Linked DNA regions of Macaca fascicularis. The protein of the gene in region 1 purifies or fractionates together with the protein of each later gene. This does not show direct contact. Links are inferred from orthologs where the notes say so. Each region holds a gene or a part of one and is shown in the gene's direction. Other genes may lie near its edges.

Region 1 (5,901 bases):
TGCTTGAACCCGGGAGATGGTGGCTGCAGTGAGCTAAGACCACGCCACTGCACTCCAGCCTGGGCCACAGAGCAAGACTCTGTCTCAAAAGAAAAAAAAAAAATTGCTGAACTACTTACATAACGTATTTTTAATATATTATTAAAACGGGTCTGGCATGGTGGCTCTTGCCTGTAATCCCAGCACTTTGGGAAGCTGAGGCAGGAGAATCAGTTGAGACCAGGAATTCAAGACCAGCCTATAGTTAACCCTGTCTTTACAAACAAAAAACAAACAAAAATGATTATGTATGTTAATAATGCCTTAATAAATCTCATTTAGAAAGGGCGCGGTGGCTCAAGCCTGTAATCCCAGCACTTTGGGAGGCCGAGATGGGCGGATCACGAGGTCAGGAGATCGAGACCATCCTGGCTAACTCGGTGAAACCCCGTCTCTACTAAGAAATACAAAAAATAGCCGGGCGAGGTGGCAGCGCCTGTAGTCCCAGCTACTCGGGAGGCTGAGGCCGGAGAATGGCGTGAACCCGGGAGGCGGAGCTTGCAGTGAGCTGAGATCCGGCCACTGCACTCCAGCCTGGGCTACAGAGCGAGACTCCGTCTCAAAAAAAAAAAAAAAAAAAAAAAAAGAAAGAAATGACTAACATTTGCTTAGTGCTTTGTAGAGACAACACTGTAGAAAGAGCATTACATGCATTATTTTATTTAATAGAAAATCTCTGGCCAGGCGCAGTGGCTCACGCCTGTAATCCCAGCACTTTGGGAGGCCGAGGTGGGCAGATCACTTGAGGTCAGGGGTTTGAGACCAGCCTGGCCAACATAGTGAAACCCTATCTTTACTAAAAATACAAAAATTAGGACCGGGCATGGTGGCTCTCGCCTGTAATCCCAGCACTTTGGGAGGCCGATGAGGGCGGATCTCGAGGTCAGGAGATTGAGGCCATCCTGGCTAACAAGGTGAAACCCCGTCTCTCCTGAAAATACAAAAAACTAGCTGGGCGTGGTGGTGCACACCTGTAGTCCCAGCTACTTGGGAGGCTGAGGCAGGGGAATCACTTGAACCCAGCAGGTGGAGGTTGCAGTGAGCCAAGATGGCGCCACTGCACTCCAGCCTGGCGCCAGAGCAAAACTCCATCTCCCCCGCCCCACCAAAAAAATGTATGAGTGCATACATTCTAACTGATATCAAAGTTCTCTCCGGGAGCTGGTAACAGAAAATTTATTTCCTTGTTTGCTTACATTTTTACAATCATGAACTTTTCAGAAAATGTCATTTTAGTTTTCTCTTTTTGAAATTCAATTTTAAAAGAAACAAGGGCCCAGTGGCTCACGCCTGTAATCTCAGTACTTTGAGAGGCTGAGGTGGGAGAACTGGCCAGGAGGCCAAGAGTTCGAGACTACAGTGAGCCACGGTCGTGCTAGGCCACTCCAGCGTGGGCGACAGAGCGAGACTCTGTCTTAATAAACAAACGCCGTAAACATTCCGAAGTGCTTTGTTTCCCATTGGAGAAATCTATAAATATGTCATGGAAATTGGAATCTTTATTCTCCTCCTGTCCCTCTGCTGGTGGAGGATTTTACCGCTGGTTCTACCTAGGCGTAGAGCTGTGTCTGCAAACAAAAAAACTAGGCAAGACCGAAAAAAATTAATGTTCTTAAAATATGCAAGTGGAGCCCGAAAATAGTTAAATTCTTGGACTAGGAAGGCATCCTTTAATGCCCAGGTCTCTGGGTAAGAGCGCACCGAGCCGCTGCGGCCAGAAGCCCCAGGGACCGAAGTGGTTCAGGCGGTAGCCAGCACCCACAGTCCAGGTCTTCTGGGCCGGCACGCCCCTCCCACCATCTCAGCCAATCGGAGCTAAGGGGGCGGGGATGGGCCAGCCGGAGGCGGGACGGACGCAGGAGGGGGTGTGTCTGGGGCGGGGCCTGGCAGGTCCCAGAAGGTGGCAATTTTCGCGGCCAGGGGCTTCTAGGTCCCGGTGGAGAGGCCGGGCTGGCCGGGGCTTCGGCCTCCGGCGTCGGGAAATGGCGGCGGGGGGCAGGATGGAGGACGTGAGTGCACGGAGGTGGCGGGCGGCTGGCCCCGGAATCCCCTTTTTCCTGTGCCGGGGCGCACGGGGCGGAGACTCAAAGAGGGAAGCCACCCTTGGCGAGTGCGGCCGCGGCGGGAGGGGGCGCCGCCTGTGCCGGGGAGGCCTGGGCGCGGGGCTATGGGAGGGCGCCGGCGCCCTTGGGATCCTCGACACGCTAACTCCGGGCTAATTTTCCTGGTGGAGGCTGGGGTGGGGTCCTGGGCGGTGGGCGCGCGGCTCTGGGGGTCCCAGGCTGGCGCCCAGCCCACGTGCGGGTTACGTCTTTGATCCCGGAACTGGCAGCTTCACGTGATGCGCGCCTGGCCTGACAGCCTTTCCTCCCCGCGAGTCTCTGGGAGCTGGGCCACTGGGTTCCGCTCGGACGCCCCAGGGGCGCAGGGGGCGAATCTCCCTTCCTGGTGGGGTCCCTTGCCTTGGCTCTAGAGGCTGTGGACTTGGAGTGACAGCGACGCTCGGGCCGGGCGCCAGCGTCCCGCAGACCTGTGGCTATCATCTCCTGGAAACCCATACGAGAGAAAAAGTGTCATGTGCTGTTTTGAATTTAGCATGGTAGGAATGCAGAGGTTTTTAAATCTTTGATAGATTCAAACCAGATTACCAAAAAAACCAGTGGCCTAGTTTACAGCGTGTATAGTACAGAATGGTAGCATAATTACAAAAATCTTATTTCTTTGCTTCAGTGTCGTAAGGTGTTTTTAGGGGAAACATGTATGTATGCCCAGAATTAACTGGAGTTTCCACTGGAAAGTAATAAAATTTTTCCTCTTGAGAAATGCAAAGTTGACAGTTATATTAAAGCACTAATTTGGGTTAATAAATTAGTAGGAATATTACTGTGATCCTATCACTGAATGAGCTGCATCAGGAAAAGGAAGAGAAACACGAAACAGTTCCAGCACTTCGGTAGCTTAGATTCTTGTGCAGTGAATCTTGATGAAATAAAGACCAAACAATTTCTAATGAAACTAAAATTTTCTGTTTTTTCCAGTTGAGAAAATGGAAAATTAACTGTAAGACCTGTAAGTAGATTTGAGACTCATATATATTTAAAGCAAAATTCATTGTTTCTGAGTTTTTAAGGCTGAGCTTCATGAGCTGACAATGTATGGAAAAAAACGAATACGTAAGAGGAAAATGAGAGACTCTTAGAAAAACACAGGCAGTAAGTGCTTCTTGGTTGATGCTAAGCTGCTCTAGGGTTCTTGGATCTGTAGCTTTTAGTTGTAGGATGCATACAGTACTAGAAATCTGCTTCCTCAAACACTGGAGACTGGGGGCGGTCTGGAAGACTCATGCCTGTAATCCCAGCACTTTGAGAGGCTGAGGCAGGCAGATTACCCGAAGTCAGGAGTTTGAGACCAGTCTGACCAACATGGCAAAACCCTGTCTCCACTAAAAATACAAAAATCAGCCAGGTGTGGTGGTGGGGGCCTGTAATCCCAGATACTGGGGAGGCAGGAGAATCGCTTGAACCCAGAAGGCAGAGATCAGAGATTGCAGTGAGCCAAGATCGCATCACTGCACTCCAGCCTGGGCGACAGAGTGAGACTCTGTCTCAAAAATAAAAATAAATAAAAATTAATTAGAGATTAATGTTTTGCCACCAACCACATATTGGAGTCACTTTAGATCTGAGTAAGTTGCCTGCTTTTGGTATTTCGTAGACATGATTTCTAGCCTTCAGGGAAAAGCTAAAAATTCTGGACCATGCCTTAGTTACAGATACTTAAATGAGTTGAGTCAAAGACTTTGTGTTAGTAAGGATTCATTGTTTGCAGGCAGTGAAACCAACTCTGACTAATTTAAGAAAAAGATTTATTTGAAAGGCTATAGGGCGAGTATATGCCAAGGCCTCTGAAAGGACCCAAACAAGGGCATCTCAAGGCACTGAAGTGACAGGAGTCCTTTTCAGGGTCTACCCTGGAATGAATCTGCCTAAACCATGATCTTTCTTCTTTTTTTGTATGGAGTTTCGCCCTTGTTGCCCAGGTTGGAGTGCAATGGTGCGATCTCGGCTCACTGCAACTTCCGCCTCCCGGGTTCAAGTGATTCTCCTGCCTCAGCCTCCCAAGTAGCTGGGATTACAGACATGCGCCACCATACCTGGCTAATTTTGTATTTTTAGTAGAGACGGGGTTTCTCCATTTTGGTCAGGCTGGTCTCGAACTCCCGGCCTCAGGTGATCCGCCTGCCTTGACCTCCCAAAGTGCTGAGATTACAGGCGTGAGCCACTGCACCTGACCTCATGATCTTTCTTTTACTGTTCATGGAGAGAGTTGGATTCACCCAACTGTTTTTCGTTCCATGACCACTCCTAGACCAGAGGAGGAGGAAGGGTATTGAAGGATGTTTCCACTAAGACTTAATGCAGAAGTAGACAGTGGGTCCTCAAAGGAAATAGAGTTACTGTCACAGAAGAGGGAAGAGGTACCATGTGGGCAAAAACAACGGATATATGTAGTTAATAATGGAAATGGAAAAAACATTTGACTTCAGGAGTCCTCTTCCCCTCAGCCTTCACTTGCAGATGGTAAGTTCATAGAATGACTGGGTGCTGTTTATATGGTTATGCTGCATATTTCCTATAGGATTCATTGGAAAGTAAATACTCCTAAGTGACATAGAGAAGAACCATAGTATAGTCCCCAACTCCTTCAGTGTAGTTAGGAAAAACAAAAGATACACACATGAAAAGGAAAACAATATAAGGCAGCGTAAGAAATATTCCAAATGAGTATTATGGGCAATATGTTTTATAGGAGTTTAAAGCAGAAGGAAAACACTTAACAGGGCCAGTTTTATAGAGAACATAAACTTGGTTAAGACCTTGAAAGATGCATAGAATTCTGAAAAAAGATAGGGGAGGATATTTGTAGGACTCTATAGAAAGCTCATTTAGGCGAGAGAAGAGGGTGCATGAAAGTAATATAGTAGGAAATAAAGTAGATTATTGTCTTATAGTGAAGGTTTCAATGTTAGCTTTGTTTAAATGTCCCAGGTCTGGCCAGGTGTGGTGGCTCACGCCTGTAATCCCAGCACTTTGGGAGGCTGAGGTGGGCGGATCACCTGAGGTCAGGAGTTTGAGACCAGTCTGGCCAACATGGCGAAACCCAGTACCTACTAAAAATACAAAAATTACCCGGGCATGGTGGCACGTGCCTGTAATCCCAACCTGTCGGGAGGCTGAGGCAGGAGAATCGCTTGAACCTGGGAGGCAGAGGTTGCAGTGAGCCAAGATCACACCATTGCACTCCAGCCTGGGCAACAAGAGTGAAATTCTGTCCCAAAAGTAAATAAATAAATAAAAATGTCCCAGGTCTGAAGCATACAAGGAAGTTGAGCAGTCTTTCATTCTCTCAACACACATATTGAACACTTTAGCACCTGCTATGTATCAAGTGTTAAAAGCACAAAGGACATAATATAAAAGAGTCTTTGCCCTTGTAAAGCACATTTTATTCTGACAATTTCAATGCCATGTGCTTAATACGGTAGGTTATAACACAGATGTAACAGAGTTCAGTAGGGACTTCCATTCCCAGCCAACATGGAGTAACTGGGAATAGATCTACCATTCTGCCTGAAACAATCGAAAAACTGATATAACATATGATACAACACTTTGTGAGATACCGGACATCAGACGACGAAGGGTAAGCAATATCAGAGATGGGAAACAAATGCTATGAACCCTATCACTGCCCCGGCTTACTGCCTTGAAAGAGTGTGCAGGTTGTGACAATGAAGGGGGAAGCCAGGCAAAGCCCAGCAGACCTCTAAGTTGAGGATCTAGGAGATTGAAGTAACTAGAG
Region 2 (5,892 bases), on another chromosome or scaffold:
TGAACATTTTTCTGGAGGAGAGGTGCAAAATTTTCATGTCAGCTTGTGATTAAACAAGGTTAAGAACTATTTGGCTACCCAGGCTTCAGCTCTTACTCTATTTGCTTCTCAGCCTCCTCCACAACAACTTTGGAAGCAAAGTTTAAATCCTGAAGTATATATAAATAATTGAATCTGGAGTCCTAGGGCAAAATAAGGACAGCTAATTCTGATCTTTCTTTTCTTTTCTTTTTGTTTTTTTGAGACACAGTCTTGCTCTGCCGTCCAGACTGGAATGCAGTCGCACCATGATGGCTCACTTTAGCCTCAACCTCCCAGGCTCAAGGTGATCCTCCCACCTCAGCCTCCTGAGGACCTAGGACCACAGGTGTGTGCCACCACACCCAGCTAATTTTTAAACTTTTTTTTTTTTCTGTAGCGATGAGCTCTTCGTAAGCTGCTCAGGCTGGTCTCGAACTCCTGGGCTCAAGCAATCTTCCCACCCTAGCCTCCCAAAGTGCTGGGATTACAAACGTGAGCAACCACACCAAGCCTAATCAGGTTTTTTTTTTGTTGAGACAGAGTCTTGCTTTGTCGCACAGGCTGGAGTGCAGTGGTGTTATCTCGGCTCACTGCAACCTCCACCTTCCGAGTTCAAGCGATTCTCCTGCCTCAGCCTCCTGAGTAGCTGGGATTACAGGAGCACGCCACCACACCCAGCTATTTTTAAATTATTATTATTTTTAGTAGAGATGGGTTTTCGCCACGTTGGCCAGGCTGGTTTCGAACTCCTGACCTCAGGTGATCTGCCTGCCTCGGCCTCTCAAAGTGCTGGGATTACAGGGGAACCACGGTGCCCAGCCCAAGCCTGATCAGTTTTGTTTCCCAAAGATCTGAGGAGATTTGCTTCCAGTAGGCAGATCTGAATCAAAACATCCCCAGGACCTACGATCTGACCTTCTGCAACCGTCATATTAGTCACAAAGTCCTGAGGCCAAACTAGCTGCACCTGAATCCTAATGGTCAATGCCAAGAGGGCCACTGATTCTGTGTAAACCGCATGTACTCCCACTTTATGATATGCGCCTGCCCCTTACCTCAAAATACCTCCCCACTGGTCTGAAATTCCTCCCCTAGGGATTCAGTGCTTTGGGTTTGGAAAGTCTGAACATCCTGTGCAACACAACTCCTTTGGGAAGAGGCATGACGTCTTGACTCTAATTAACTAAAACTTGGAAGTGGAGGGGAGGGAGGTCAGGGAAAGGACTGGAAGGGAAAGTGAAAGGGCTACTGAAGCTTCGTGCGGGGCAGGAACGGTAGGCTAGACTGGAGGCAACCTCAAGGACACAGGAAATCCAAAGGGTTGTTTATATACTATGCCCTGCACCCCAAGCAAAACGTCTCCTAGAAAACAGGGCCAGGGCTCAATCCACCCCAAAGGCAGGGGCATGGAGAGAAGCGACCTCTGCTTTTCCGTCCCTCGCCTCAACTCTGCACCCGCTCTAGCTATGGGGTCAAGCCCGGAAGCACCCCGGCTGGAGGGGACGCTCGCTTTCCAGGACATGGTCCCGCCCACTGCAAGCGCCACCTTGGTAAGGGATTTCTCCTAGCAGAGGCAAACGCGAACTTAATGCCTTCTTGATCAAGATGAGGTCTTCGAGACCTGTCTGCCTCGCCACGTCGGGCTACATGCGTACGCTCCCCCGCCACAGCCAGGTCGCGACCCTCCTGCACGCATTCCCACCGAGATTGCGCCTTCTCCCCCAACCCCAGCTCGTCCCTAAGTAAGATGGCGGCGAGCGCACTTCCGGCGTGTGTCCTTACGAGTGCGTCCGGGCGGCTGCTTGCAGGTGCCACCCAGCGGGTTCCAGCTTCTTTGCTGCATAGATTACAACGGTGATGGCGGGCAAGCGGTCCGGCTGGAGCCGTGCGGCTCTCCTCCAGCTCCTTCTCGGCGCGAACCTGATGGTGATGCCGCCCACCCAGGCCCGGAGTCTGCGCTTCGTTACCTTGGTAATGAGAAATGGGGTCACCAAAGAGTTCCCTGAAGCTAGAAGGGCAAAGGCCAGCTGGTGGGGGTCGGGGATCTTGGGAAGGAACAGCTGGTTTAGGAGAGGACGACTGGCCTGTGTAGTTGGGAGACTGGGTTCAGGATTGACGTGGAGCCCTGGGTTATGGGGGTCAGGGTGACCGAATAGGTCGGGGTGAGTCTGCCCTGAGACAGGGAAGTAGTTGAATGGTTAAGACTCATCCCTAAAGAAGCCTTTGGTTGTCTTTTTTCCCCAGTTGTCCCCACCACATATGTTGCTTTCACTTCTCTTTTCCCTTACCACCTGTACCTTGGCTTTGCCTGTGGTCTCCAGTGGCATTGCTTAGCCAAGTTAGAGTGTCTGGAATCTGGAAGAAGTGACTGACTCCTAACTGGGGTCTTTTGCAGCGAGTAGGCTTCCCAAAGGGAATGAGACTTCCTTCCCTAACATGGGGCAAAAGGTAGGCTCTGGGTCCCTATCGAGATGCTTCTGACCTATAGACAAACCATTTTCTTCCCTCAGCTGTACCGCCATGGAGACCGTTCACCAGTGAAGACATATCCCAAGGACCCCTACCAGGAAGAAGAATGGCCCCAGGGGTTTGGTCAATTAACCAAGGTGGGTCAGAAGCCAGCCTTTCCTCAGGATGAGCTGTAGAATGAGTGATGTCTAGAGCAGGCTACAGAACTTGGGGCCTTACTAAACTGCCTTTTCCCATATGGGTGCTGACTTTGACCAGATTTCATAACCTTAACCTCTGTGCCCATGATATTGCCGTGCATGACTGGCCACTTAATGAAAGACTTCTGGGATCAGATTAATTGACTCCAGCAAAGGGTAAACCTGGAAAGCAACAGGGCCTAAACCCCATGGGGCTTGTGAGCCACTCCTTCCCTCTAGACCCTCTTAACTTTTGGGTTTGCCCACAGGAGGGGATGCTACAGCACTGGGAGCTGGGCCAGGCCCTGCGGCAGCGCTATCATGGCTTCCTAAACACCTCTTATCACCGGCAAGAGGTAAGCTTGGGAGCTCCAGAGGCAAGGGGAATGGGGTATGCTGCCCTCATCTTTTGCTCTCAGGGAGCCTAAGGCTGAGGCTGGGCACTCTGGCCTCCTTCTTGTATTTTTGGTTACAACTACAGGAAAAGGCATCTGAGAGCTGTCTGGAACAAAACCCTAGGAGCTGAGTTGCCCCTGCTTGGCTAGGAAGAGGCAAACCTGATTAAGCATCCAAATTCAGCCTTACGGGCGGGCCTGGCAAAGTGGTTTCTGACTCTTTGAAATCACAGGCTTTCCATCCAAGACATTTATTGAGTACCCATTAAAGGCCAAGAACTATGCTAGCACTTCGCATTCAGTGGTGCACCATACAGATATGATCTCTGTCTTCATGGAGCTTAGAATGTTGTGGGGGTATCTGATGATAAACCAGACAGGGCCAAGATGAAAGACAGCGGGGAAGATGCACGTAGATAGGGCTTGTCTTTCCTTGATCAAGATGAGGTCTTCGAGCCCTGTCTGCCACGCCAGGTCACGCTACGTTCCTAGGGCACATCAGGGAGGACTGGCGAGTGTGCCTGCTCCTTGAGTCCTTGCCCTACCCCAGGGATGGGGGAAGCTATTCCTCTGGTTACCACTGTCAGCCTCAGCTGTGTCAAGAGTCCCTAGATATTGTTAATTGTTCCCTTAAGGCCCAGCTCTGTCCTGAGCTTGTCCTTCCCCAGTTTCCTCCTCCCTTTTCATGAGCCACTATCTCTGAATAAGCTCTTCAAAATATTGTTTATTTATTTATTTATTTATTTTGAGATGGAGTCTTGCTGTGTTGCCCAGGCTGGAGTGCAGTGACATGATCTTGGCTCACTGCAACCTCCGCCTCCTGGGTTCAAGCGATTCTCCTGTCTCAGCCTCCCGAGTAGCTGGGATTATAGGTGTATGCCACCATGCCTAGCTAATTTTTGTATTTTTAGTAGAGACAGGATTTAACCATGTTGGCCAGGCTAGTCTCGAACTCCTGACCTCAGCTGATCTGCCCGCCTCGGCCTCCTAAAGTGCTGGGATTACAGGCATGAGCCACTGTGCCTGGCCTAAAATATATACGTATATTTTAAAGGGGTCTCACTCTGTCACCCAAACTGTAGCACAATGACTTAATCATAGCTCACTGCAGCCTCAAACTCCTAGGCTCAAGTGATCCTCCTGCCTCAGCCTCCCAAGTAGCTGGTGCCCGCCACACCTGGGTCATTTTTTATAGAGACAGGGTCTCACTATGTTGCCCAGGCTGGTCTCGAGCTCCTGGCCTGAAGCGATCCTCCTGCATTGGCCTCCCAAAGTGCTGGGTTTATAGGCGTGAGACACCAGGCCCAGACCTTTATCTTATTTTTTCTCCCTGGTCTCTAAGGGTCATCACTGGAGCCAGTTTCTGCCCCAAGGACCCTGATCTAGACAAGGAGAGAGGTGTTGTTATGAAACCAGACAGACCAGAGAGCCTTACTGATTGACTCAGCACTTTTGACTGGGAGAAAGGGGTATTCAATTAAGGCCATTCCCACAGGAGTTCTTCACAGAGTGGTGACAACCCCCAGTGGAGTGTTTGGGGGATGGGGAAGGCCAGAGGCCAGAGGGGGGTGAGGGCCAGATGCATGGTAGGTTTACAGTTTGCTGGGTGATCCTCAAGAACAGGTTCTCCCCCGGGGCTCCACTTTGGGGTGACCAGGACTTCCCACCACACACACACACACACACACACACGCGGCTCCACTTCAGGGTGACCACAACTTCCCCACCACACACGCACGTGCGCAGGTGCGCACACACACACGACTCCAGGGTGACCAAAACTTCCCCACCACACGTGCGCGCACGCGCGCGCGCGCACACACACACACACACACGTGACTTGTGTTGCTATCTCTGCAGGTTTATGTGCGAAGCACAGACTTTGACCGGACTCTCATGAGTGCTGAGGCCAACCTGGCTGGACTCTTCCCTCCCAACGGGATGCAGCGCTTCAACCCGAACATCTCGTGGCAGCCTATCCCTGTGCACACTGTGCCCATCACTGAGGACAGGGTGAGAGTGGCCAGCCCTTCCCTGGGATGGTGAGGGGACAGCTGTGGCCGTGTGCCTGCTGATGCCAGGCTCCTTTTCCCACTGCCTGTTTCCCTGCTTCGCTCTACAGCTGCTGAAGTTCCCGTTGGGCCCATGTCCCCGTTATGAGCAGCTGCAGAATGAGACCCGGAAGACACCAGAGTATCAGAACGAGAGTTCTCGGAATGCAGTGAGTAGGGGCAGAGGTGGAGGTCGCCACACTGTCTTTTCCCCACAAAAGCACTGAGATCCTGATCCATTTTTCATAGCAATTTCTGGACATGGTGGCCAACGAGACAGGGCTTACAGACCTGACACTGGAGACTGTCTGGAATGTCTATGACACACTCTTCTGTGAGGTGAGCCCACTAGAGTGCCCACTGTGATCACTCTTTTTCCCCTCAGCAGGCCCAGGTCACCAGGACGGTAGAACACAGTGCCTGATACCGTTACGCCCCTGGGGAGGTCCAGGGAGGCTGTGCTTGTGAAACACGGGAACTTCCCTCACGGGTGACAGAGATCCTCAGAGTGGGAAATGGTTTATTAATTGTCAGCAGTCCCTGCTGCTCTCCACCCAAAGCTCCTTTCTGCTGAGTCTCACTTTTTGTGCCTGAGCTTCCTTTCCTGTGCCCTGCAGCATCCACACCGTCTGCCATGTCTACTAGTTCCAGCCCCTCTGCCTCTGTCTCCTCTCCCTCCCTCACACACACAGGCACCTTCCCACTGGGGAAGAGAGCTGCCCCCTGGAGAGGCTGGCCTAGGCCTGGGGCGCTAACCTGCCCGCTGCGATATACAGC
Region 3 (5,222 bases), on another chromosome or scaffold:
AGATGGATGTGCAATGTTAGCGGCCTCGGCCGGCAGGCGGGAGGACCTCCCTGATATGCCCCAACCCCTGGTTGACAGGATCCCGCTGCACAAGTTCACGTCCATCCGCCGGACCATGTCGGAGATGGGGGGCCCTGTGGAGGACCTGATTGCCAAAGGCCCCATCTCGAAGTACTCCCAGGCGATGCCGGCCGTGACCGAGGGGCCCATTCCCGAGGTGCTGAAGAACTACATGGACGTGAGTATGGGGTCTTAGCCCTGCTGGGAGCGGAGCTGCTCTCCAGAGAGCTCCCTGGGACTGTGGGGACACTCCCGCCTCCTGTTCTCAGGGGCACAGTTTGAGTGACTCACTTGGCCAGGGTGACGTCCAGGCTCAGCCACACTCCTGTCTTCCCCATCCTGGACCTCCTGCCACTGGCCCCTGTGGTTGCAGGATCTCGGGCCTGGGAGGGTGATTGAGGGTGGCCTTGGGCCTCAGTGCCAGCTCGCCCGGGGGGCAGTCATTGGGTCTGCCTGGGTGTGGCCGGCTGCCCTGGAGCCTGTCTTTATTGCTGTCCTGCCAGGAGGCCTATGGTGACTCGTGGCCCCTCTCCAGCCCCTCCCCATCTTCTTCCTCTGGCAGCAGCCCCTCCTGTGCCCACGACTCCTTCAGGGGGAAGCAGGATCCAAAGGGGAGCACTCTGGAAGCCACCTAGCAAGCTGGGGCTTGGTCAGCCTTGTCCCAGCTCTATGGGGTCAGTTCGAGGCCAGGGCCTGCTGTCCAGCCTCGGGGCTCTGGCCCACTGTGGCGGGGGGTCCTTGCCCTCTGTCCTGCTTGGCCCGAGTCCTGGCTGTGACAGGAAGCCCAAGACTCATAGGCATGTGACTGGGCGGGTTGTGGGGAGGGGGCCTGGGGGGAACCGGGTGCCGTGTGCCTGGTCCCGACCGGCCAGTTCCTGATCGCCCTAGCGCGAGAGCACGCCGAGGCACACACATGCACACGCGCACATGGAGATTTGCTGAGTGTCCCCCCGCCAGTGGTCACTTCTGTGGGGCCATGAGTCAGCAGCTGCTGCTGCTCTGTGAAGCCAGGCGGTCGGAGAAACATCGGACTGGGCTGGTGCCAGGAATCTGGTGGCTGACAGTGGCCCAGGCTCTATTCCTGGGGGAAGCGGGCGCCCAGGCGACCCCAAACTCCAGGACCCTCTTACTCTCTGCCTCCTGAGATGCTCAGTGGGCGTGGGACCCCTTGTACTTGCCTGATCCCTGAGTCAGCACCCCCACCTGTCCCTGCTATCCTTGTGTACACATGGGAGAACTGAGGCCCTGGGCCATTAAGGAAGGGTTGCTGGGCAGGCAGTGACTAAGGCTTACCTTCTCCCCTTGACCAGCTGAACCCCTCTGCCTGGAAGCCCTCCAGGCTTGGGGTTCACCCTGGAGGGCAGGGCAGGCACTGAGACACCCAGAATCAGACCCTGATACGGTCCCAACCTGGGGAGGAAGTCACTTCCCTTCTCAGGCCCTGGACCCCAGGCCACCAGGGGAGTCTTCCAGGCAGGCCCTTCCTGTACCTGGGGCTCAGGCCGAGGGCCACATCTGTCCCCACCCTGGATTGACCTCCGGACTTGTCTTTTCCGTGGGGAAGTCCTCAGCCTCACCATGTGTCGAGCAGGGGTAGGTGGCAGAACCCAGAGGTCTGGAGACCCCAAGCACCTGTGGGCATTAGGACTGAGGGCTGGGGACCTGGCCCATCTTCCCTGCAGGCTGAGCCGGTTGGAGTAGGTGGCTGTTGGCAGCTGTGGGCCCCATGATGCTCGTCCCTCCAGCATGGGCCTTCAGGCTTCAGGGTTTGGCTCTGGGGACAGCCGGGCCTTCTGAGGCCCGGTGGGGAGAGAGGGCCCCCTCCCCATCCCTGACGGACCCTGTCCCCTGCCAGGCCCAGTACTACGGGGAGATCGGCATCGGGACGCCTCCCCAGTGCTTCACGGTCGTCTTCGACACGGGCTCCTCCAACCTGTGGGTCCCCTCCATCCACTGCAAACTGCTGGACATCGCTTGCTGTGAGTCACGTACCCCGGCCCCGTCTCCCAGGTCCTGCCCTTTTGGGATGTCGCCACAGGGCTGCCTCAGGAATCCTTGGGCAATGCACTTCTCCCACCTCTTGGCCCCATGAGCCAGGCCGGCCCTCCACCCTGCTCCAGGCACTGGCTTTCTGGGTGAACCACCAGCTGTGGTCTTGCTCTCAGCAGCGCTGGGGCTGGGGTGGCCGCGGAGGGAGCCAGCTGTGGCTGGGAGGGAGGCCCGGGGTCACAGCCCACAGTCCTGGGGCTCTGGCACGATGGTGGGCCTCGGATCCCCTCCAAATCCCACCCTGGGGAGGCAGCTTGGGGGGAGCGGGCTCCATGGTAGACTGCAGGGGGATGGGAGGGCCGTGGCCGTGGCGTGGGCTGCGGGATGACCGGCGGGCCCTCTTCTCGCCCGGGGCAGGGCTCCACCACAAATACAACAGCGACAAGTCCAGCACCTACGTGAAGAATGGCACCTCATTTGCCATCCACTACGGCTCGGGCAGCCTCTCCGGATACCTGAGCCAGGACACTGTGTCGGTGAGTCCCTCTGGGGCCTTTCCCGGGACTCGAGGGTGCCAGGGTGTGCGGTTCACCCACCGTGGGTATGTGGTTGAAAGGGAGGGCGCGGTGATCCCAGGCCGACCCCAGCCCTCAGGTGGCCGGGGCGGTCAGCAGGATGAGGAGGGGCCTGGGAATGGGCCTGGTCATGTGCAGGCTGGAGAGAGAGCCTCGAACCTGGGGGCTGCAGGGGCAGGGGTCCCCGGAGTCAGGCCACAGTGAGTGGGAGGGAGGACAAGGCAGATTGATTGGGCTTTTTTTGGCACATTGGGTTTGAGGTGCCAGCAGGTGTTGAGGGCTGGGCCTGGGGCTGCACAGGATCCTTGCAGCAGGCCAAGGGGTTGGGGAGGCTTGGGGTTGGGAGGATTGCCAGGAACCCGCTGTGGGGGCTGCTGGCAGAGAGTCACCTGCAGGAGCCTGGGAGGGTAAGGGAGGGGGAGCAGCAGTGGCTGTTGGGGGCCCTGCCTGCGCTCCACCATCCTCAGGGCCCTGTGCAGAGCTGCTCCCTGCCCAAGGAGAGGGCGAGCTGGCCCTTGTCACCCTGCCTGGGCCTCAGTGAATTCTCACCTCGGAGCTGTCTGCTGGGGGTGGGCCAGGCCGCAAGGGGTTCAGGAGTAGTGGGACGGTGACACAGCCCCCAGCTCCGGAGCAGGCCAGGAGGGCAGCAGAGCCCCCCTGCAGGCCAAGGGACCTGGGAAGAGGGCCCCTTCCTCCAGCTGGACCTGCTCCTAACAGTCCGTGCTGGGCTGGAGTCCAGGTCTGTACAGGGGCTCCTCAGAGCCCTCTCCTCTGGGCCCCGCTCAGCCTGAACGGGAAATTGCCCCGTCTGTCCTCTTCCGCCTCCTCCGCCCCGTGTCAGCCTCAAGCTGTCGTTCCCTTCCCACATCCTGCTCTGGCCTGTTCTCTTTCTGCAGCCTCATCCAGGGCTGGGGGAGGGGACAGTCAGAGAGGGAGACGGGGGCAGCACGGCTGTGAGTCTGGGTTGGGGTCGGCGGCTTCCCCGTCTCTCGGGCTCCTGGCCCGGGTTGTCTCTTGTTCCCAAGGCTGAGGGCAGGAGCAGGAGCAGGAGCAGGACCTGCTTGTTGGTGGTGGTGGGAACAAGAGGTCAGAGCAGGGAGTGGGGCAAGGGGTCTCCCCGTCTGTGCTCCTGCCTGGTTCCCATCTCCTTAAAACTAAGCCCCAAAGTCTCCCACGAAGAGGGCTCCACCTCACCCCGCGTCCCCATGCCCCGCTGTGTTCAGCTCACCGTTTCCAGCCCTTTCTGCTGGGCCCTCTGGGCCCCATCGTGTGTGAGATGAGGGGTATCCATTGAGCTGGGTTTTGTAGCGCAGCCTCATGCTCAGAGAGGGGTGTAGGGCTCAGCCTGTCTGCGACCCACTGACGCTGCCCTGGCCTGCAGGTGCCCTGCAAGTCAGCGTCATCAACCGCTGCCCTGGGCGGTGTCAAAGTGGAGAGGCAGGTCTTCGGGGAGGCCATCAAGCAGCCAGGCATCACCTTCATCGCAGCCAAGTTCGACGGCATCCTGGGCATGGCCTATCCCCGCATCTCCGTCAACAACGTGCTGCCCGTCTTCGACAACCTGATGCAGCAGAAGCTGGTGGACCAGAACATCTTCTCCTTCTACCTGAACAGGTGGGCGCGTGGGTTCCCTCTCCCCTCCTGCTCTCCTAGCTCAGCGTTGTTGGGAGGCAGGGCGGGGCTGGGCTGGGAGCCTCCCGGGCACCCCCACTCAGTGCCGCCCCCTCCCTGCTGCTGTGGCCAGAGCTCCTGACCTCTGACCTCAGGGTGTCCGGGAGGCAGGGGTTGGCCGCCCTTCTGCAGAGGAGTAAGCAGATCGCAGAGAAAGCTGTTTGGCCGGGGTCTCCCAGTGGGAGGAGCTCAGGCCAGGCTGTGGGTCCTGGGACCTTGGCAGCTGGGCCTCCTTCCTATGAGAACAGACCCAGTTCGGGGGTCATGGCAGTTCCTCTTGGTTCAGTTGGCCCGTTGGTCCCTGGACCTGGTGATGGGCATGTGTGGTCCTGGTCCCGGGTTGCTGATGGTGGAGAGGGGGCATGGTGCCCAGGGGCCTGGGAGTCCCTGGGGAGGTGACTTGGGTGGGTGTGGGTCCCCGGCACCACGCAGCGAGCAGCTCTGTGGGTGTCCCCAGCAGGTGCTGGCTGCCCTCTAGGAGGAGCATAGGGGGGCCCTTCCTTCTGGGAAAAGGGTTCTCCCCCAGGGTCCCCACCTGCTGCCACTGCTTCAGCATGGGTGAGCCATGGTCAGGCCACCTTTGGAAGGGGGCCTCGGCCTTAGTTAGTTTCCTCTTCTCGGGCAGACCTGAGTGGAGGGTTCCATATAAGAGGGGTGACTGGGGGTTGGGGGCTTTTGCCCTGGGGGTGGGCAGCGTGTCAGCCGGCGGCCTCCTGCCCTGAGCTGTGCCTGGTCACTGCCCCATACTCTCCAGGGCTGACAGGGGCAGGTTCACCTCATGTGGCTCACTTGGCACTTGGAGTCTCTGGGCCTGACGCCTGACCTTGGGGCACTGCTGGCAGAATTCCGGCCGTGGGGCTGGCCTGGCCTCTTTACTCTGTCCGTTGCCTGGGCAGTGAATACTCCTTAGCAACACCCTGGGCTGAG
Region 4 (5,222 bases), on another chromosome or scaffold:
ACAGTGAAAGATCCTGCAGACTCTCCCTTGGATTTCTGCAGATGGGCGAGTCGTGCCTTCAAGGCACCACGTCTTACAGAGATCCTCTGAAAAAGGCCGAGCAGCGTATGCCTAGGATGACGCAGAAATTGACATGTGCCCTCTTGATAAGTGTTCTGAAATAAAGCGCTAAATAGCAAAAGACTAGGCTGGCAAACTCAATCAGATGGGCTTAGAGATGACAGTTCCAGAACAGTATCCGCAAGGGACAGGGCACCAGGTGAACTGGCCGTGTAATCCATGTGTCTGGTTCTTCATTGGATTTAAGAAACACTGTGGAGGCTGGGTGCAGTGACTCACGCCTATAATCCCAGCACTTTGGGTGGATCATCTGAGGTCAGGAGTTCAAGACCAGCCTGACCAGCATGGCAAAACCCTGTCACTACTAAAAACAGAAATTAGCTGGGTTTGGTGGCATGTGCCTGCGGTCCCAGCTACTTGGGAGGCTGAGGCAGGAGAATTGCTTGAACCTAGGAGGTGGGGGTTGCAGTGAGCCGAGGTTGCACCACTGCACTTCAGCCTGGTGACAGTGAGATTCCGTCTCAAAAAAAAAAAAGAGAAACAGTGGAATCTTGTGGAATCTTGTAACAAAACCCATCACTGCTACAGCTGTGGAAACTGGGGATACTCAGTCGTGTTTTCTGGAGAGTTTTTGATGGTCTCTGTCTTCCCTGGAATTGACAGGCCTCACGCATTGTGCATCAGCAGCAATGTTTATGGTGAAAAATGGCAACGGGACCGCTTGCATAATGGCCAACTTCTCTGCTGCCTTCTCAGTGAACTACGACACCAAGAGTGGCCCTAAGGTAGGAAACACCAGGGCACTTCGTGCTTCCCTTGTGTGTGTGGAAAGATGATTTTTAACATTTCAACCAAGTCTTTGAAAAATGGCCCCATATAAACATGGTACTTTTCCTATCTGCGTATTTCCTTCTGGCGTTGTCAGTAACCTGTGTTGTCATGTGCCATAGCCACAGGCACGGTAACAAACTTCTATATGTGCTGCACCTCACCGTTTATCATGAACTTTTTTTTTTTTGAGACGGAGTCTCACTCTGTCGCCTATGCTGGAGTGCAGTGGCGCGATCTCCGCTCACTGCAAACTCTGCCTGCCGGGTTCATGCCATTCTCCTGCCTCAGCCTCCCGAGTAGCTGGGACTACAGGCACTCGCCACTACGCCCGGCTAATTTTTTGTATTTTTAGTAGAGTTGTGGTTTCACCATGTTAGCCAGGATGGTCTCGATCACCTGACCTCGTGATCCGCCCGCCTCAGCCTCCCAATGAACTGGGATTACAGGCATGAGTCACTGCGTCTGGCCTGTCATGAACATTTTTCTAGTTTTCTTTTTTTTCTTTTTTTGAGACGGAATCTCGCTTTGTCGCCCAGGCTGGAGTACAGTGGCATGATCTGAGCTCACCACAACCTTGGCCGTCTCCTGGGTTCAAGCAGTTCTCCTGCTTAGCCTCCTGAGTAGCTGGAACTGCAGGTGCCCACCACTATGCCTGGCTGATTTTTGTATTTTTGGTAGAGATGGGGTTTCACCGTGTTGGCCAGGATGGTCTCAAACTCCTGACCTCAAGTGATCTGCCTGCCTCGGCCTCCCAAAGTGTTGGAATTACAGGGGTGAGCCACCGCTCCCAGCTCTAGTTTTCTTCATGATTGTCTTTTATGATCATAATGTAATACTTTATTATGTTAGTTCACCATAATTTGTTAACACACTCCCCTATCAGTAATTAAGTCTTGAATCTTTTTCATGCTCTGTGAATGTGACTTTGATTTATTTATTTTTTGAGACAGAGTCTCACTCTGTTGCCCAGGTTGGAGTGCAGTGGCGCAGTCTCGGTTCACTGCAAGCTCCGCCTCCCGCTTTCACGCCATTCTCCTGCCTCAGCCTCCTGAGTAGCTGGGACTACAGGCGCCTGCCACCTTGCCCGGCCAATTTTTTGTATTTTTAGTAGAGATGGGGTTTCACCGTGTTAGCCAGGATGGTCTCGATCTCCTGACCTTGTGATCCGCCCGCCTCAGCCTCCCAAAGTGCTGGGATTACAGGCGTGAGCCACCGCACCCGGCCTGATTTACTTTAGAGAAATTATTATACTCCAAGAAATGTATATAAATGGTTGTTTGACATGCAGTTCTACAAAGACTGTACTAGTTTGATTAAAATGTTCCTTAGTAGTTTTGTTGAAATGGCTTTGTGTTTATTTGGGATGATTAAAGCCTTTTGTAATAACAGAATATTTTAAAAATCCAAGACAGCGAGATCTTATCTCTTTAAAAAAAAAAAAAAAAAGCCAGACATGGTGGAGCGTGCCTGTGATCCCAGCTACTTGGGAGGCTGAGGTGGGAGCATTGATTGAGCCTGTGAGGTCGAGGCTGCAGTGAGCTATGATCTTGCCACTGCACTCCAGCCTGGGTGACAGAGCAAGACCATCTCAAAAAAAAAAAAAAAAAGTCCAGTCTCAAATTTGACAAGTATGTCAAAGCCTTTTTTCTTTTTTCTGAGACAGAGTCAAACTCTGTCCCCCAGGCGGCTGGAGTACAGTGCCAAGATCTCGGCTTACTGTATCCTCCGCCTCCCAGGTTTGACTCAGTCTCGTGCCTCAGCCTCCTCAGTAGCTGGGACTACAGGTGCGTGCCACCATGGCCAGCTAATTATTTGTATTTTTAGTAGAGATGGGTTTCACTATGTTGGCCAGGCTGGTCTTAAACTCCTGGCCTCAAGTGATCCACCCACCTTGGCCTCCCACAGTGCTGGGATTACAGGCGGGCCCTACCGTACCTGGCCTCCAAGCACTTTTTTTTTTTTTTTTTTTTTGAGAGTTTTGCTCTTGTCACCCAGGCTGGAGTGCAGTGGTGCGGTCTTGGCTCACAGCAACCTCTGCCTCCTGGGTTCAAGCAATTCTCCTGCCTCAGCCTTCCGAGTAGCTGGGTTTACAGGCATGTGCCCAGCTAATTTTTGTATTTTTAGTAGAGATAGGGTTTCTCCACATTGGTCAGGCTGGTCTCGAACTCCTGACCTCAGGTAATCTGCCCACCTCGGCCTCCCAAAGTGCTGGGATTACAGGCGTGCCCCAACGTACCTGGTCTCCAAGCACTTTTTATTTAATTTCTACATCACTTTTTTAATGTTTGGTTTTGGTGGTTGGATTTTTAAAATATTTTGTTGTAAATTATGTTTCACAAATGAGGTCACCTTATGCTGTTATGCATGTCTTTATCACCTCTGTAGTTTCGTGGTGTTTTTTTGGCCCACATTAGTATACTGCTTCACTGTAGTTCATTTGACCTATCTGGTTTATTTTGATGAACATTAGGTGGTTTTCCAGTTGCTTGTTTTGCTTATAATAGTAAATTTAAACATTTCTGCTATGAACACTTCCTTTGTTTAAGGAAACATTATTTAAATGAATATTTCTATAGCAAAAAAGTAGTGATAGCTTTTCTCAAATATATATCTCACCCTGAAACCGGTTTGAATTATTTCAATTTCAAGACGCTTTAAATTCTGTTATATTAACAGAAAATTTATGGGGTTGTTTTGTTCTGTTTAGAGACAGGGTCTTGCTGTGTTGCCCAGGCTGGAGTGCAGTGGTGCAATCGTAGTTCACTGCAGCCTCAAACCTAGGCTCAAGCGATTCTCCTGCCTCAGCCTCCTGAGTAGCTGGGACTACAGGCAGATGCCACCACAATTAGTTTATTTTGTTTTTGTAGAGATGGGGTCTTGCTATGTTGCCCAGGCTGGTCTTGAACTCTTGGGCTCAAGTAGTCCCCCCACCTCAGCCTCCCAGAGTGTTGGGATTACACGCGTGAGCCACCGTGCCCAGCTGCAAATTTTTGATTATAAGAATTATTAAGTCAACTGTCTCTTATACCGGAAATACTTTTCAGTCTGTTACTGACATGTAATACTAACCTTTCTTTGGTTTATATTAAAAATGAGTATCTCAGTAGTGATAGCTGGAAATGGAGTATAAGTTTATATCAGACTTACAGAAAATCTCTCTTTGAACTTTTAATAACCTGTATCCCAATTGGGTTATATTTAATTGTGTTTATTCTAGAACATGACCTTTGACCTGCCATCAGATGCCAAAGTAGTGCTCAACAGCAGCTCCTGTGGCAAAGAGAACACTTCTGACCCCAGCCTCGTGATCGCTTTTGGAAGAGGACAGACACTAACCCTCAATTTCACAAGAAATGCAACTCGTTACAGCGTCCAGCTCATGAGTTTTGTTTATAACTTGTCAGACACACACCTTTTCCCCAATGCAAGCTCCAAAGGTAAGAACCAAAGTGGGCCGATTATAAAGTGATAGAAAATTGGGTTGGAGGATTGTCTAAAGTTACTTTTACCTGAGAATTACAGGTTGGGTGTAGTGGCTCACACCTGTAATCCTAGTATTTTGGGAGGCTGAGGCAGACAGATCACTTGAGGTCAGGAGTTTGAGACCAGCCTGGCCAACATTGCAAAACACTGTCTCTACTAAAAATACTAAAATAAGCCAGGTGCGGTGGCAGGCACCTGTAATCCTAGCTACTCGGGAGGCTGAGGCAGGAGAATCGCTTGAACCCAGGAGGCAGAGGTTGCAGTGAGCCAAGATGGCGCCACTGCACTCCAGCCTGGGTGACCGAGTGAGACTTTCTCTAAAAAATTAAAAAACACGCAGCCAGGCATGGTAGCTCACGCCTGTAATCCCAGCACTTTGGGAGGCCGAGGCGGGCAGATCATGAGGTCAGGAGTTCGAGACCAGCCTGACTAACGTGGTGAAACCCCCTCTCTCCAAAAAGTTCAAAAATTAGCTGGGCGTGGTAGCGCGTGCCTGTAATCCCAGCTACTCAAGAGGCTGAAGCAAGAGAATCACCTGAACGCAGAAGGCAGAGGTTGCAGTGAGCCGAGATCACGCCACTGCACTCCAGCCTGGGCGACAGGGCAAGACTCCATCTCAAAAAAAATAAAAAACACATAAAATAAACTAAGTACGACAAGTGATTTTTCTTTTTAAATCTAGAAATCAAGACTGTGGAATCTGTAACTGACGTCAGGGCTAAAATTAAAAACACATAAACTAAGTACTAAAAGTGGTTTGCAATTGTGATTTTTTTTTTCTTTTTAAATCTAGAAATCAAGACTGTGGAATCTATAACTGACATCAGGGCAGATATAGATAAAAAATA
Region 5 (5,823 bases), on another chromosome or scaffold:
AATTAGGGTGGTTTATTAACCTTAATATTGGTTAGGGCAGGGAGTCACAGGTCCCATTGGAGAACTAGTGAAAACTACAAACTTCCCCACAAAAATACACATACATAAATGTTGCATGTAATTTCTGAGGATTCACTGACACCCCTCCCATCCTGCCTAAACTCATACATAGACTCCAGATTAAAATCTCCTGGACTAGATGATTTTGAAGCTCTCTTTTAGTGTTTCTCAAAGTGTGGTCCATGGACCACAGAATCAGAATCACTTGGGGTGTTTGTTAAAGAAGAGATTCATAAGACTGCCACAGACCTACTGTTTCAGAATCTCTGGGGAATGAGGTACAGGAATCCGTATGTTAAAACAAACAAACAAACAAAAAAAAACCAGATGGTTCTTTTGGAAACTAACACTTGAGAATCAGTGCTTTATTCCAACTCGACATTTTTAAATGCTTTCATCTGTTGAATATTTTAGGTTTTGTCTGTTCATCTATCAAGTATAGCAAACAGTATGCTTAGTATTAACTCATTACAGAATATTTGTGTGTATGTACATAGGAAAAACACCTGGAAGTGTAGATGTGGGTGTGTGTATATATATGTGTAAATATATATAATAGTGTTAATAGTGGGAATAGAGATCTCTATTTTTCCCCCTTTATTCTTCTGTTTTATTTCTCTCATTTTTTTTTTTCTTCCTGTGTTTTAAAAAATATGCTTCTTGTTTCTGAGCTCAATTCCCCCATCTGAGAACAGGGTGCTGTAACTAGGTGAACTTCAAGATCATGTCTTGTTCCAATGGTCCGTGACTCCATACTATCCTCTAGGTTCCCTCGTCCATCTCACAGCATGAACTGCATAGGTAACAACAGTGTTCGGAGAATAAGCATGTATTATTTTTGTATGTATTACGTTTGAGATGCCTAGCAACCGTTTTTGTGCCCGCAAAATTTTTCTCTTCTTTGTCAAGGAGCCAAAACGGAAATAGTCTACTATCTACGGCCCTCAAAAGTTCCTCCTCTCTCCTTAGCCTTAGAAAATACCGTCCGCCATAGGCATGGGCAAAGACTTCATGACTAAAACACCAAGAGCAATTGCAACAAAAGTCAAAATTGACAAATGGGATCGAATTAAAAGAGCTTCTGCGCATCAAAAGAAACTAGCATTAGAGTGAACAGGCAACCTGCAGAATGGGAGAAAATTTTTGCAATCTACCCATCTAACAAAGGTCTAATATCCAGAATCTACAAGGAACTTAAACAAATTTACAAGAAAAAACAACCCCATCAAAAAAGTGGGTAAAGGATATGAACAGACACTTCCCAAAAAAGACATTTATGTGGCCAACAACATGAAAAAAAGCTCATCATCACTGGTCATTAGAGAAATGCAAATCAAAACCACAATGAGATACCATTTCACGCCAGTCAGAATGGCGATTATTAAAAAGTCAGGAAACAATAGATGCTGGCGAGGCTGAGGAAAAATAGGAATGCTTTTACGCTGTTGGTGGGAATGTAAATTAGTTCAGCTGTTGTGGAAGACAGTGGGGCGATTCCTCAAAAATCTAGAACCAGAAATACCGTTTGACGTGTGCACACGTATGTTTATTGCAGCACTATTTACAACAGCAAAGACTTGGAACCAACCCAAATGCCCATCAGTGATAGACTGGATAAAGAAAACGTGGCACATATATACCATGGAATACTATGCTGCCATAAAAAAAAAAAATGAGATCGTGTCCTTTGCAGGGACATGGATGAAGCTGGAAGCCATCATCCTCAGCAAACTAACACAGGAACAGAAAACCAAACACTGCATGTTCTTACTTATAAGTGGGAGTTGAACAATGAGAACACATGGACACAGGGAGGGCAACAACACACACGGGGGCATGTCAGGGGGTGGGGGCCAAGGGGAGGGAGAGCATTAGGAGAAATACCTAATGCATGTGGGGCTTAAAACCTAGATGAAGGGTTGATAGGTGCAGCAAACCACCATGGCACATGTATACCTATGTAACAAAGCTGCACATTCTGCACATGTATCCCAGAACTTAAAGTAAAATTTAAAAAAAAAAAAAAAAAGACAGAAAAAGAAAAAGAAAATGCCGTCCGCGCATATCTCTTAGGCGCATAGGAAGGGTTGTGAACCAAAAAGCCAGGGCGTGGTTGCCCCGCCCACCGGCCTCTACATCACCACCCCTCTCGCCGCTTTCAAGCGCGGAGATTGGCTGTAAGCAAGAAAGAGCCCCGCCCCTAGTCTTATGACTCGCGCTGAAGCGCCGATTCCTGGCTTTTGCAAGGCTGTGGTCGGTGGTCACCCGTGCTCTTGACCCAGGTCCAGCGAGCCTTTTCCCTGGTGTTGCAGCTGTTGTTGTACCACCGCCGTCGCTGCCGCCGTCGCCTGCTCTGCGGGGTCATGGTGTGCTTCCGCCTCTTCCCGGTTCCGGGCTCAGGGCTAGTTCTGGTCTGCCTCGTCCTGGGTGAGTTGTCGGGCCCTCCCGATTAGTCTGTCCGCCTGGGCCCGGGGCGCCAGTTCAAAGCTACAACCTGAAAGACTGGTCCGAGGGGGCGGGGGGTGAGAGGCTCAGCAACTGACACTGGGCGGCGGCGATTGGCCCGAGGAGGCGAGCGGTGACCTAGAGAAGGCCTGACAGAGGGATGGCGGGGAAGAAGGGCCCAGGAGAGTAAGAAGGGGCCGGTAACGGGGGGGTGGACGCCGAGGGAGTAGGCTGGGAGGAGTGAAGCGTGGAGAGGGTCAGGGTGGAAAGAGTAACTTGGGGAAAACACTGAGGAGTGAGCGTAGGAGGGTGGTACATGCAGATTTTGGGCGCCAGAGACAATTAGGAGAGTCCTGGTTTGCTGAGATCAGGGAAGAGTTTTGAAGATGGTGGAAAAACTATGGGGTGATATAGGAAATTAAGAGAGGAGACCATGCCTGCCTGGAGTAGCTTGGGGGAAGAGTGTGGGTGGGGGACAGATGGAACAGATAGGACAGTAGAGCCTGAGGGGCAGGGGCAGGGACAGGGTTGGGCATTTTGAAGGTTGGAATTTGAGGCTGTGAAGAAGGGGTGATTCAAGAGATTAGGAGTGATGCTGGGTTTGAGTTTGGTAGTCATAGTTTTAAGGGCGAAGGAGCCTAAGGTAGCTGGGGCAATTTCCAGGAAAGAAAACTTGGACCCAGCCTCTGGAGACTAAGGGGTTCGGTGGGAACTTTGATGGGGAGTGCACATCTGACTTGGAGGTATTAAGGATGTCGATTTTCTCCCAGTTTTGCTACTTCCTCCCAGCCAGACGCTGACAAAAAAATCCCCAGACGTTTCAGTTAGGAGGGCCTCCCAGATGAGAGGTTTTGATAGACTGAGTTTGGTAGACTACCTCTTTGCCTTCAGAGTCTCTTGTTTTCTTTCTTCCCCATCACACTAGCCTATTACCTCATTTTTTGGGGGGGTGCAGGGAGCAGGTAGACAACTTGCTAAGGATTGGGTTGTTACCAGGGCCTCATTAGAATGGCTGGATGGGGCCGGGCGCGGTGGCTCACGTCTGTAATCCCAGCACTTTAGGAGGCCGAGGCGGGTGGCCTCACCTGAGGTCAGGAATTCGAGACCGGCCTGGCCAACATGGTGAAACCCCGTCTCTACTAAAAATACAAAAATTAGCCAGGCGTCGTGGCACATGCCTGTACTCCCAGCTACTTGGGAGGCTGAGGCAGGAGAATCGCTTGAACCCAGGAGGCGGAGGTTGCAGTGAGCCGAGATCGTGCCATTACACTCCAGCCTGGGTGACAAGAGTGAAACTGTGTCTCTAAATAAATAAATAAATAAATGGCTGGGTGAATGTTCGCTGATTGTGTTGTGCCCTAATAGGCAGTGGGTCCCTAACAGCTTTAATGCCTGAAGATGAACTTTGACTAGTGTCTCTTCCTGACTTGATTCATGCTGTGCTTTTTGCTACCCACCTGCTCTTGCTATTTGTGACTTAATAAAATAACATAAAGAACAGACCCAGATGGAAGTGGGGAAGAAATAGACTTATTAGGGGTCTGAGAAAGCAGTGAGAGGTATACATTTTGTAATTCACATTTCAGTAGAATAAAATCAACACCCTGGAATAGTCATTCTCCACCAGGGGACATTTGGCAACTTTTGGAGACATTTTTGGTTGTCACAACTGGGGGATTGCTTTTAGCATCTAGTGGGTAGAGGCCAAGGATGCTGCTAAACATCCTAACTAAGCACAGGGCAGCCCCTCACAACAAACAATTATCTTCCTGAAAATGTCATTGATAAACCCTGCTCAAAAACCATAGTATTGGAAGGGTTCTTGATTATCTAATTCAGTGACTCTCAAGGACCTTTTCATGGGTCTATGAAATCAAACCTTTGGAATAATGTTAAGAAGGTTTTTGTCCTTTTCGGCTGGGCACAGTGGCTCACGCCTGCAATCCCAGCACGCTGGGAGGCTGAGGCGGGTGGATCACCTGAGATCAGGAGTTCAAGACCAGTCTGACCAACGTGGTGAAACCCAGTCTCTACTAAAAATACAAAAATTAGCCGAGTGTCGTGGCACATGTCTGTAATCCCAGCTACCTGGGAGGCCAAGGCAGGAAAATCGCTTGAACCCGGGAGGTGGAGGTTGTGGCGAGCCAAAATTGCGCCACTGCACTCCAGCCTGGGCAACAAGAGCGAAACTCCATCTCAAAAAAAAAGAAAGTATTTGTTCTTTGTCCTTTTCACGCTCATCCTCTCACCAGTGTACAGCGGAGTTTACCAGTGGCTACATAACATGTGATGACCTCACCACTCTGATGTTCTTATATTTTATTCATTTCTCAGTTTTAATTTCTAATACTCTAAATACCAATACATATGACTCACATAAACCTCTGTGAAGTCCTCAGTGGATAAGAAAGTAAAGGGGTCCTGACACCAAAACGTTTGGTAGTCCAACTGTTCATAGGGTGCAGGAAACTCTTCTGTAGCACTTCTGAAAGGTGGCCTTGAGGCAGGCTTTGCTTGAATACTTAATTCGAAGCCTTAACTGTCCCTTGGAGCACTTACTGAGGGCCAACTGACCCTAAGAAAGGATTGTTTACAATGGAAAGTACCTTATCAGTGACTAGAACACATCTGACCAAGGCATCTGTTAATCAGTAGTTCCCTGCCAGTTGAATCTGTGCACAAATACAACACTGCTATTGTTTGGGGAAAGTGAAAAAAATAATAGTTGTCCTACTTGTTGGCTTTCATGTCATTAAATTTTTTTTGTTTTTTAATGAAAGCTTTTTTGTTTTGTTTTTACAAAAGCAGTGCTTACTCATTGCAGAAAATAAACATGCAAAAAGAAGCACATAAAAGAACCCATCAGCTCATCTGCTAGTTTGCCATTTATTGATCGGGACTAACTAGATTCATCCTCTTGGAAAATTTCCAAGATTGATCCCCTCCACCTCCAAGTTCAGAGCAGGATTTGGAAAAGTAAATATTAATAATGTACCTAGATCGGATTTTTAAGAGGTTCCAGGATGAAATAGAAACCATTCTTCTATACAGCTGCATTTTCTGATGGCTACTGGTTCAGTGTGGAGCCCAAAGTCCTCCCATATGGCTTTTTCTCTCAAGAATTTAGCAGTTGCTTGGTGGGTTTTGCGCAAGTTACTTTTCTGTATCAAAATGGATACCAAGAATAGGTTTTTGAAAACTCAGTAAATATTTGTAAAGTACCTACTATGTAGCTAGATCAATAAATATTTGCGAAGTATCTACTATGTAGCTAGAACTGTGCCTGGGTACTGTACAGGGTGCCAATGAAGAAGGACC

What was found.
Region 2: the proteins of TMEM192 (region 1) and ACP2 purify together in Homo sapiens (affinity purification with mass spectrometry; 3 studies listed by BioGRID and IntAct, with this or other methods). This does not show direct contact. The link is inferred for Macaca fascicularis from reciprocal best matches to the Homo sapiens genes TMEM192 and ACP2.
Region 3: the proteins of TMEM192 (region 1) and CTSD purify together in Homo sapiens (affinity purification with western blotting; 3 studies listed by BioGRID, with this or other methods). This does not show direct contact. The link is inferred for Macaca fascicularis from reciprocal best matches to the Homo sapiens genes TMEM192 and CTSD.
Region 4: the proteins of TMEM192 (region 1) and LAMP1 purify together in Homo sapiens (affinity purification with mass spectrometry; 3 studies listed by BioGRID and IntAct, with this or other methods). This does not show direct contact. The link is inferred for Macaca fascicularis from reciprocal best matches to the Homo sapiens genes TMEM192 and LAMP1.
Region 5: the proteins of TMEM192 (region 1) and LAMP2 purify together in Homo sapiens (affinity purification with western blotting; 5 studies listed by BioGRID and IntAct, with this or other methods). This does not show direct contact. The link is inferred for Macaca fascicularis from reciprocal best matches to the Homo sapiens genes TMEM192 and LAMP2.

The regions. Positions count from the first base shown.
Region 1 is NC_088379.1:170,008,541-170,014,441, reverse strand, and holds the start of TMEM192 (transmembrane protein 192), read left to right. Parts: upstream 1-1,864; 5' UTR 1,865-1,868; coding exon 1,869-2,048; intron 2,049-2,512; coding exon 2,513-2,638; intron 2,639-5,901.
Region 2 is NC_088388.1:18,594,962-18,600,853, forward strand, and holds the start of ACP2 (lysosomal acid phosphatase), read left to right. Parts: upstream 1-1,864; 5' UTR 1,865-1,878; coding exon 1,879-1,992; intron 1,993-2,531; coding exon 2,532-2,627; intron 2,628-2,938; coding exon 2,939-3,025; intron 3,026-4,924; coding exon 4,925-5,077; intron 5,078-5,186; coding exon 5,187-5,285; intron 5,286-5,364; coding exon 5,365-5,454; intron 5,455-5,891; coding exon 5,892-5,892.
Region 3 is NC_088388.1:1,693,105-1,698,326, reverse strand, and holds part of CTSD (cathepsin D), read left to right. Parts: intron 1-78; coding exon 79-238; intron 239-1,915; coding exon 1,916-2,039; intron 2,040-2,466; coding exon 2,467-2,585; intron 2,586-4,005; coding exon 4,006-4,238; intron 4,239-5,222. UniProt on the Homo sapiens protein: Acid protease active in intracellular protein breakdown. Plays a role in APP processing following cleavage and activation by ADAM30 which leads to APP degradation.
Region 4 is NC_088391.1:103,727,652-103,732,873, forward strand, and holds part of LAMP1 (lysosome-associated membrane glycoprotein 1), read left to right. Parts: intron 1-723; coding exon 724-845; intron 846-4,108; coding exon 4,109-4,328; intron 4,329-5,167; coding exon 5,168-5,222. UniProt on the Homo sapiens protein: Lysosomal membrane glycoprotein which plays an important role in lysosome biogenesis, lysosomal pH regulation, autophagy and cholesterol homeostasis.
Region 5 is NC_088395.1:126,742,769-126,748,591, reverse strand, and holds the start of LAMP2 (lysosome-associated membrane glycoprotein 2), read left to right. Parts: upstream 1-2,295; 5' UTR 2,296-2,423; coding exon 2,424-2,487; intron 2,488-5,823. UniProt on the Homo sapiens protein: Lysosomal membrane glycoprotein which plays an important role in lysosome biogenesis, lysosomal pH regulation and autophagy.